Linked DNA regions of Drosophila melanogaster. The protein of the gene in region 2 interacts with the protein of the main gene of each other region in a pairwise test. Each region holds a gene or a part of one and is shown on either strand. Other genes may lie near its edges.

Region 1 (3,761 bases), 5.6 Mb from region 2:
ATTTTATCGTTTTTTTTAACGGTTTATTCTTAACCCTATATTGTACTTTGAATATATTACAAATTTATTTTTTCCACATTGAATTTTTTAAAGGTCAAAATAGATTGTATATAGTTCAAAATTAAACTTGAGATTTTATTTATGTTCAAATGATATTTGGTATCAAAATTATATCTATGCTGAATAGCAGCAAGAATGAATATTTTTGTGCGTTACACAAACAGTTGCAATTAAATCTAATTTATTCGCTTGGCACTTTCAGTGTTTCACTTTCAAATTATTAAAGCTCGGTGTGCTTGAAGATGGTTTTTTCAATGTTCTCCTGGAGCTTCTCCACTTTGCGAGTTTGCTTCTTCAGCTGATCCTCCATTTCCTCAAAGCGGCTGCTTTTGTCCTTCACTTTTTCGCCCTATAAATAATTGTTAGTTGGCTTACAAACTTGATTGATATTAAGAAACATATACCTTGTATTTCTCCTTTTGCAAAGCATGCTCGGCATGCAAGTGACGCAGCTTTAATAGGCGACTTTCGAAGTGATGCAATTCGGTTTTAATGGACTCCAGTTCTTTAACCGTAAAATTGCTAGCCTGGGCCACTCGCCATAGACCCTGGACCTTGGGTTCAATGAAGTCCTGACTGTGTGGACCGGAGGACACCAGGCGTTCCAGCCTATCGTAGTGATCCTTGATGCCCGTGTGATGTCCTCGCAGAGTGTTAAGGTCGTTCTCGAAACTCTTCACGTTTTGCGCATGGGTTTTGATGTCGTTCTCATTGACATCATTCGAAATCAGATTGTAGGTGTCCAAGTCTTCCGTGTTAATAGCATCTAACGAGAATAATCAATGAAATTAATTGATGCTTTTCGTGCTGTTTTTAGCCAAACTCACTTTCATGCTTGTCGGTGTCTACGGTGCCAATGTTTTCCAGCAAGCTGTAGTACACATCCACTTTATCCTGGTGATGGTCAAACTCCTGTTTCAAGGATTTCAATTCCTCTGCAGTAAATCCGGAAATCTCGGCCTTCTCCCAAAGTCGGTTGAGTTTCTTGTCCTTGAAAAGACTCTTGTTTCTGTGTCGCTCCTCGGCGTCGTGGAATTTCTTAAAGTTAACTTGGATGTAGAGAAACTCTTGCTCTTAGGAAAGATGATTTAGATACGTACCTTGTAGGGCTTAAGCTTCTCCGTATCCTGAGTGTCGTCAAAATGCTCTAGCAGATCGTAGCTGCTCATGATGCCAATGAGCTTGCGGCGCAGTTCGTCGGCCTTCAGCCCGTCTTTGTCCTTGTGCTGCGAGTTGAGCTGCTTCCAAGCGATCTCCTCCTTATCGTGGATCTTGAGTTCCATGTACAGTGACTTGAGCTTGGGCTCTGTTAAGCGCTGTAACCGAGGTTAGTACGGTTAAATATGAGATATCTTATGGTGTCCACTTACATTCTGCGCCTTGGCCCACACGAGATTCAACTTGGCCATGCGAAATGGCCGCTGGATGCTCTTAAAATCCGGATCATACTTCTCCTGCTTTACTTGCTGAAAATGCGGGTCGTTGGCCTCCTTGCTGTACTTCTTGCTCTGCTTTTTGTCGGCATCCACGCCCTGCAGTGCAATAAGTACGGAAAGTGCGATGGCTGCAACAACGAGAGCTGACCTAACCATTTTCCTCGTGGTTTTTATTTCGGTTTTAAAGCTTGCAATTATTGGTGCAGTGCTGACCTGGCTAAACAGTTATTCACAACACGCAGTGTGGCCATCTAGCGATCGCATAAAGCTTTGGTGCTGACAGTCTAGCTTTTATTTTATTTTAATGCTTTGTTTTTCGCAGTTACGATTTTTGATCTTGGTCAATTTACAACAATTTGTTTGATTTATTTGATAAAGATGTTTAATAAAAATAATTCAATTTGCAGTAGAAGTGAAGAAAAATCATAAAAGCATGTTTGTCTAATAAATATAAAGCTACATTTTCCTGAAGTGATAAGTAGATATTGCAGCACTGACGTGACGCTGTGATGTTGCTAACTGGACTTGGTCACACTGCCAATTTGCATCAGCCGCCTTACCACGAAATTGCGCTGAATTATAATTATTATCGAGTGCTTACTACCTAGGAGTGATTACATTGAGAAACCAGGACAATGAGAACGGAGGCAGCGGTCAGTTGTTTCCTGTTGGTATTGCACAGGGTATGCTGTCAGAGCGGCAACGATGAGTCCTGGCTGAGTCCGGATCCCGCCTGGTCGGACCTGGTTAACGATATCAATCAGCCCGGTGAATTGTGCCAGTGTCCTACGTGTCCAGATGTGTCTCCAGTGGCCATGGAGGATGCCGTGGCACTCACATACTTCAAGAAGTTCGTCAATCTGCTGTTCCAGCGCAAGCGTTTTCAGGTATGATCGCTGTTTAGACCAAAGTTGGCGACATGACGTCATATGTGTGTAACTTTTGTGTAATTAGTACGATGTTATGTCGGCGGTCCATAAGCGATCGCTGCTCTTCTCCCTGATCCCATCGCAACTGGATGAACTGGAGAGGGTGCAGGATGCTCGGGATTTGGACGTTTTGCTGACTAAGATATTGGAGAGTGCCGAGGAGGCTCCTTTGTTTAATGGAAGATCCGGATGCTCATACGTCCGACACGGCTTTTTCTCCTTATTGGTGGATATTTTCAAGGATGTAATTGAACTGACGCAAACGACCGAGGTACCTGTTGCGCCTTTTTATGGAAACTTGACTATTTGCTATTTAATGGGTTTTCTCATTCCTAGGTGAAATTTATCCTATATGCAACATTAGCAATTGCACTTGTCGTCATTGTGCACAAACGTTTCCGTGTCGGACTAATTTCAATTGTACTAGGAGGCGTGTTTCTGTGCGGATATATTCAGACTTATTTAGAATGCAACAGAGTAGGTCTAGCCTGAAAGTGTGTGAAATTGTGCTCATTATATGTTTATAATTAGGAATTAGACATCGATAGGATGATAGAGGTCGTAAATCATCACCATGAGCCTGAATCGTCCTGGTTTGGTCGACTGTTAGGCTACATATACCAAGCCTCACCAAAAACTAAGAAGATAGAAATGATCAAGTAAGACCATAACATATAATTAAATAAGTCGATTGATGATCGTTTCCATTCAGAAAATCCGCAAAAATCAGCATTTCCATTTGCATGCCAGATCAAGTGTTCTTTATGTACATGAATAACATATTTATCAAGCAGTTGGAAATCATGATAGAAAAGGTGTCGGTAACTATGACTAAACTGTCCTGTAAGTATTTAACCAAGAATTCGCACAGTCAATAATTACCACTTACCACTTAATTACCATATTTACCCATAGCCGGATTATCCTTCCCGTATAACCTCCTTGCACCAGTCCTTTTGGTGTTTTTAGTGGGTTACACCATAAAGCTGTGCTTTAAATACATTTTAAGCCCCCGAGCATGGGCGTCACTTTTACACAAGCCAGCGCCACAAGGGACACCAACGATTCACCAGTCCATTAATGCACGGGCGCCCGAAGGCGACTCCATATCGGGCGACAACTTAAAGATGCTGCTAAATGTAATTAACGTGAGAAATGTTCCAAAGGAGTCGCTACAGCGAATTCCAGACGTTTCGGGCGTCCAAGAGCTAGAGGAAAAGCAGGAAGCTCCCACCACACCATCGAAAAAAGAAAATTTAGATGAAAGCGATTCCAGCAGCAAAAGCAAGAGCAAAAGCTGTGTAGCTGAAGATGAAGGATTCACGCTGGTCGACGA
Region 2 (3,230 bases):
AAGGCTTTCCAGCCAAGTATTAGGCCCGAATTAACATATTAAAAAGAAAAACTAAGTTCGTTTCTAAGTCAAGTTTAATTTTGTTACTATTTTTTCATAGCACTGCTATTTCATTGAACACCAGAATTTCTGCCTATTATGTTGTTTTATTCTATATTTTCGAAACTATTGAAGAAATAAAAGTGAAACATTTGTTAAATTGTTTGAAATTAAATACCTAATGATATTATAAAAAAAAATTTCCCATTAAAACTGTAAATCATAGGAAATTTTTATCTTAAACTCTCAAGTCCAAAGCACTGCTATTTTTCTGAACACAGCTGTATATAAATGGGCCTAAGGGAAACATACATCAACGACAATAATTCTTGTTAAGTAAATCCGATGCGTCTTTAAAAGGTATTCACAATTCGAAAGTCGGAGAACCTTTCAAATGCTTTCGTCACAAATAATTAAATAAAACTTTTTATATATTGAAGGTGCAGCCCTTTTTTTATATACCGGATAAATGGAGGCTTTTTACCGCGGTGATAAATTCTGCTAGGAATCAATACACCTATATGCAAGGGACTAAAAATCCTTTTTTCAATGAATCCATCATAGCTTACTCTAAGAATTCGGCTATAATACGAAATATTAAATTTTTGAATGCGAACATTTATTACTTTTTATATACTTGTTAATATAAAATGTGTGCTCGATTAATTTCTATGTACAATATACATAATCGGTTTTCTAAATGACTAAACTGATGGCAAGTGTTTATCGGCCGAAACGCATGTGACCGTAGTCATCGAACTGATCATCACCTCCCCTTTTACCAAACCTCATATGGCCGTAATCATCAAACCGCTTAGCTTTCGTTCTTTCGTCATCATTATCCATGAGGAGATCCAGCTCAATTGGTATTATTGGGCGTGAAATTAGTGGCACTCTGCGACCGAAGCTCATTGTTTTCTGATTACGCCTGTCCCCGAATAGAGAGAATGATGGTCCAACTAAATTCGCAATGGGCTGATCGATTTCCCCACCAATTTTTGACTCCAATTCCTGTAGTCGCCGATCATCCTTAGCGTTCTGTAGACTAGTCGTCTGCGCTGGGATCGGCAGCACCACCAGGAAGCAGAAGGCTAATGCCCAGAGTGGCATAAACAGCGTGGCGAAGTGCGTACAGCTTCTAGGTCCCATGCTTTACTGTGCCCTTGGCAGACTGGTGAACATCTAAGTTGGCGCTTCCTTTTTATACGATTGCGTTTGTGGCCATCTTTCTCGCCTGTTTAATATTCCGTTACCGCGGCTGTCAAGTGTTTAGAGGTGTTGAGATAACAGAAATTGACTTTGACTTGTGATTGACTTGATTGATTAAACTAACTTTGATGCTGTCCTGACAATAATTGAATTCGACGGCATGCCTAAAAGAATTAAGTATGATGAGTAACCGTCTGTATTAGGGCGCTGGGCGAGTATACTCTAGTGGTTTTCTGAAACATTCTTCAGCATAATATCAGGGGGCTAGTAGCTGTGCCAGACAAACAATTTTAAATAAAAAGCGCATATCCATGGTTAAATTTAATATTCGGAAATACATTCTGATTCAAATTTTTATAAATTTGCCAGCAAAGAAGTGTGAGCTAGTGTGAGACTTACAGATATGTTCAGAAGATATTTCTTTTTAAATTTTAAAAGCTGTTGCGAATAGAATATACTATTGTCTTTGGTTAAACTGAGCTGTGAACCATTGTATATGGGCATGAGGTTGACAGTGCTGATCTGAACCAAATCCAAATGCGAAATTCAAAAGGGAGGTTTTTTAACGGATATGCCTATGATTCCAACTGATATTAACACGATACCCATCAGCAAAGCCCAAACAAGCATTTCTTGTTTGTAATGTGAATTTGAAAATCATGTATATTACATGGGCATTACCATTGGACATGTAGACTCTTGTGACCCCTACACACCCGCATGCTGACCAAAACTGCAATGGCTACACATTTGAAAGGCTAGTATACCCTATAAAGTATGTAAAATGCCGAAGGCCTTTTCCGACCATTTGAAGTATATATTTTTTGATCAGGATCAATAGCCGAGTCGATCTGACCCTGTCCGTCCGATTGCTCCGAAACTTTCGTCATGAAATTTAAGTAAAAGCCTATCGATTATAGTTATTTTCTTTTCTCATTACTTATTCGATGAACCCATTAATCGATAGCTTTTACCACATTTTGTCGACTTGTTACTTCGAGGTCGACAAAGTCTTCAACCGGCAGTTCTCACTTGGGAGCGGTATCGTTCGTTCAAAAAACAAAACAGTGTGACGGTGAGACCGACCATTAGATTTCAATAAGACAAACAACGCGTTTTTATGGTCGGAATACATACCTTATTTGTGCTTATATTGTTTATCCCCAATAACTTTGCGAAAACCATTCTTGTCGAAGAGCTTACAAAATGGACATTGAGAAATAAGACCTCCTATAAGTGCCGGGTAATTTATCTGAAGATTCTGCTTATGATACCCGTTGCCTACATTCTGAACGTATTCGTTAATGATATTAAGTTAAGCTTATCAATGCTTATCTACGTTCCAAGAACTGTTAGAATCTGATTTAGTAGAAACCTATGAAAAAAGAGTTAATAGAAGTTAAAAAAGTTAATAGAAAAGAGTCGTCTCTACTGATTGCACATCTGTCGCACTTCAGTTATTTGAGTAAGCGGTATCTAATAGTCGCGGCACTCTACGGAAGTACATACATATATATACACTAGTGGGCATAAGTATTTGGACAAGAAATATTTTCAATATATTTGTTTGTAACTTATTGTTTACTTAAAGCAAAATTGTTTAATAATTTTAGTAAATAGGTAGGCTATCGTAGTTAAATGTAGAGGTAACATAAACATATGGATAACTTCATTGTTGATTTAACAAAAATCACTTTCTTACAAATTAGCAATGGCATAAGTATTTGGGCAAATTATTTAAATTTTATAAATTGAAAAAAAATTATGACAAATTAATAAAAAAATATACCCTCCCTTAGCGTCACCTTTTGCAGACGTTTTGGTACAGACTGTACCAAGCTGTGGATATAATCTATTGAAATATAAGGTTTGAATTTCCAAAATCGTTTCTTCGCGACTTCTAGATAAGTTTGCACTCCTTTTTCTTTTTAAATATGACCAGAGGTTTTCTATTATGTTGAGGTCTGGACTTTGACGTGGCC
Region 3 (3,761 bases), on a different chromosome or scaffold from region 2:
CGGTTTCCTTTTCTGGACGCGAATTTGAACTTTCATTAACTGGGCCGAAAAACTCCCTCCGTTATGTACCCAACCCAACGCCAGGTCCATCCGACAAACCGGATCACCAAAGTTCAGTTTATGTAATCACTCTTGCTTTCGCGTTGCATCCGAATACGAAAATGCAAACACCTTATGACGATATTTCCATACACATATGTATATGAATATATATATATATATATATATATATATATATATATATATATTTCTTGGCCGTTTTCCAGATTATTTTGATCGGGGATTTTCGATCCGCGCCCCACTTTCTGTTGCTCAGGTGTGTGTTGCTTTAATTGCACGCTGTAATCGTAGCCGCTCTCAATTCGAGTTTCATTAATTTGCCTGTCAAAAGTTTTGAGTTTCTTTCTCGACAGCCGATTGCAAATGAAAGAGCCAGCGAGTTGGACTTGGGCCGCAGTGGCAAATTATTGTTGCAATTGCACTTGCTGTTTGGAAAAAACGTCAATAAGATTTTATTGCTGATGCTAATAGAGACCAACGTGTACACTTAAATTTTGTTCCCCAACAGCGATTGTAATTGTTCAACGAAATAAAGCTTAAATTGTCCATGAAGTTTTTGAGAACACCGCTTGCTTCCAGCTTGCTTCTGACACTAATGAACTGTTTTCCATCAACAAAGCGATTAGTTACCGAGCCCACTTTACTTCTATTGAAACTCATAATGTGAGCACATACAAAATTCGGAAAACACCATCTTTTGTTGCAAAATAATGTAATCAACATTACAATGGGATAATCACGGGTAGCTCCTTTTTAAATGAGAACCGAAAGTTAATAGTAATAGTTGTAGATCGCATGCTATAAAGCACTTTACATCAATGATACTGAATTAAATAAAGGTTGAGATTTTGGGCGGGTATATATTTTTTAATTGTTTCTTAATGAAGACTAAGGAAATAACCATAATCTCTGCGTATTTTTCTCGAACTACGCACTTTCCAGAATAATAACCGAAACGTATCAAGCCTGGTTTCATCCCCTGAACGCCACCAACCCCGAGAAAAATCTGCGCATCTATTAACTGCACTGATACCGAAAGGAATGTTCGAGGCGTAAATATCTTCAGACATACCTTGTATCGCCGAAATGTAGAGTGTAGAGTTTCTTCACTTTGTATCCAAGATTTGTGTGCGACAGGTGTGTTACAGGTGTATATGGTGTGTGGACTTCTGCAACCGTTTCAATGGACCTACAACTTACACGCGAGCCTTTCAATTGCACTCGGCTCTGCGTGATTCCGATTCCCCTTTCACAGAATTTCTTAGTGATTTATTAAAGATTGCACACTGTTTGCACTGCCTTCGGCCATCGTATTTCGAATTATTTCCCCTGGCGGGCACGGATCGAAAAGAAAAGAAACGGATGCGATGGCGATGGCGATGGCGGAGCGACCGGCAACCGCTGACTTTGAGACCGTATCACGAACTGAGAGAACCCACTCAGACTTCAGATCTCGCTGCACAGATCGCGTCTTGCGTTGCGACTTACGTAGCGGTATAGCGAATTCGAATTCAGTGACCGTTAACGTACCGATGGGTCAGTCCGGCGTTATTTCCGACGTCTTTTGTCCACTGACAAATTAACTTTGATTTAAATTCTAGCTGGAATACTCTTACTAGTTCCTGGAAAGGTGAGACACAAGTTCCGCGCACATGACCGCCTCGCACCACGTAACGGTAACGAATGAGGTCTTACGTTAGGCTCGGCGCTCTCGCCGCGCTCGGCTTATAGCTCAGCTCTCACCTGTAGCAAAGCGCTCGATCTCCCCGATTTTCTTTCTCAATTTCTATCTCGCTCTCCCTGTCTCTATATATACATATGTATATATCACGCTCTCTCAGGTGAGTGCACCGGATGGCGGGACTTTTGGGAAAATCTGTGCCGCTCCTTTGCCTTGTATACCTGTTTCCATCCACCAGTGCGCCGCTGCAGTCTGAAGGTCGCATTTTCGCTCATTAATCGCCACTTTCTTCTGCGGCTGCGCAAAGTTTTATGGAAATTAGCACCGCGAGTTCAGGTGAATTTCGGCCCGACTACGGACGAGGGCGACCCTAAAACAGATGGACATGCGTTTCGTTGGAAGTGCGCTTCTGTGCATCATGGTCGGAAATACAAATGGTGAATTTACACGGGACGATTTTACGATACGATTTTTCCGTGTACGGTGCATGGTTGGCCTTTTATTTAAAATGCATTTGGTTTAATTTTCACGTGAAAATTTCTGAGTAAGTCCGCAGAGTGATCATCATAAATCAAGCAAACAATTTGCCATGATCGCGTTCTGGAAACACTTGCAGAGTAGTGCTGACTCCTTGAAATAATATTTTAAGTCGTCACTTATCAAAATCAAAAATGGTTGTAAACTTTCCAGGCAGGGCCTTTCTCTTAAGTTAAAGACACGTGGACAACTGTCGTGAGGCGAAGTGTGCCTTAAGCATTTCTATCCGAACTACACAAAATTTAAGAAGCCATTCATTTACCTCAACGAATTCCGTTATTATTTCGGCATCAGGGATCCCAATATACAATGTAATATTTATAATATATTATTATATATAAAAGTATATAGAGGGAAATTCGGTATTTCCGAACTTAAATAGTTGGCCTTTTGTTGAGAAAGGGCCTGTGACATCACCACAAAATGCTGAGTGAGGTTTTATAAAAGATTTAGTGATCTGTGCCATGTACAGGGATATGAGAAGATCGCGAAACTATGCGCCATAAAAATAATTTTATTAGCGCGGCAAACTTGTTTTCCGCAAGAAATTTTTAAATCACAAAAAAATAGAAGCGATACAAATAGAGCGCAGTATTACCGCTGAAAATTTAAGCGGAAATTTTAATAAAAATCATTTACAATTTATTTCAAACAGTAAAAAGTGCACACAAGTGGTGGAAAGAAAGGGGCACAGTGCGCGATAAAAATATACTCATGCGCAGAACCAAACAATGAACTATCTCACAGTGCGATAATACATATGTGTACATATAGTATAAAAGCTGTGTGTAGTAATGCCAGCCGAGCACGTTCAACTCGGGCGAGGAGGATTATATTGGATCGGCCTGGTAATTGAGCAGTGTAGGTGTAGCGCACGGCGGACAAATGTTGAATTCAATTCTGGGCAATCAAGCGAGCGATCTATATATACGCTCATACGATGAATACAGCATTAACATTGTCCAAGGCGGCGGCATTAACGAGATATTTGATTGGCTCCTGAATGCGCCGCCAAGACGCTTATACGCAGCTCGAATCCAATGTGGAATCCTCCAGTTCGATGCCTTGGGATCGTAGCTGCTCCATGAACTCAGTCTCCATCCGAAAAAGATCTTCGATCTCAAACTGGCGCCGAGTGTCCTCTAGAGTCTGCACCCTCAAACACTCCCTCTTTCGAAATACCACGTATAGGATGACGACGTGGATCCACACTATTATGTTGAGTCCTTTATCCCAAGATTCCGGAGTGTACGAACGGGCTTGTTGCTCTATGTAGTTCATATAGGAGAAAAGTACAAAGTCATTGAGACGATAGCCCGTCACCTGAAACGCCACGATCACCAAACATATAATCCCAACCGGCACAATGTAGATGATTTGTATGACCAACAAAATATTCAGAAATTCTTTGCGGCCTTCCATGCCGGCGATACTAGAGAAAAAGATTTGTTCACTGATTTGACAGGTTTCTAATAACTGACTG

Evidence for each region.
Region 1: the proteins of Dsk (region 2) and CG8507 interact in a two-hybrid assay, tested with the Drosophila melanogaster proteins (one large-scale study listed by BioGRID).
Region 3: the proteins of Dsk (region 2) and Ptr interact in a two-hybrid assay, tested with the Drosophila melanogaster proteins (one large-scale study listed by BioGRID).

What each region holds. Positions count from the first base shown.
Region 1 is NT_033777.3:9,789,461-9,793,221, reverse strand, and holds CG8507 (uncharacterized protein), read right to left. Parts: upstream 1,740-3,761; 5' UTR 1,653-1,739; coding exon 1,431-1,652; intron 1,377-1,430; coding exon 1,161-1,376; intron 1,099-1,160; coding exon 888-1,098; intron 827-887; coding exon 465-826; intron 410-464; coding exon 281-409; 3' UTR 124-280; downstream 1-123. Other genes in the region: CG12945 (uncharacterized protein), read left to right, coding at 2,132-2,383, 2,451-2,696, 2,762-2,902, 2,957-3,084, 3,138-3,268, 3,341-3,761.
Region 2 is NT_033777.3:4,189,046-4,192,275, forward strand, and holds Dsk (drosulfakinin), read right to left. Parts: upstream 1,216-3,230; 5' UTR 1,189-1,215; coding exon 763-1,188; 3' UTR 647-762; downstream 1-646.
Region 3 is NT_033778.4:6,194,520-6,198,280, forward strand, and holds the start of Ptr (Patched-related), read right to left. Parts: upstream 1,802-3,761; 5' UTR 1,133-1,801; intron 1-1,132. Other genes in the region: CG30432 (uncharacterized protein), read right to left, coding at 3,299-3,700.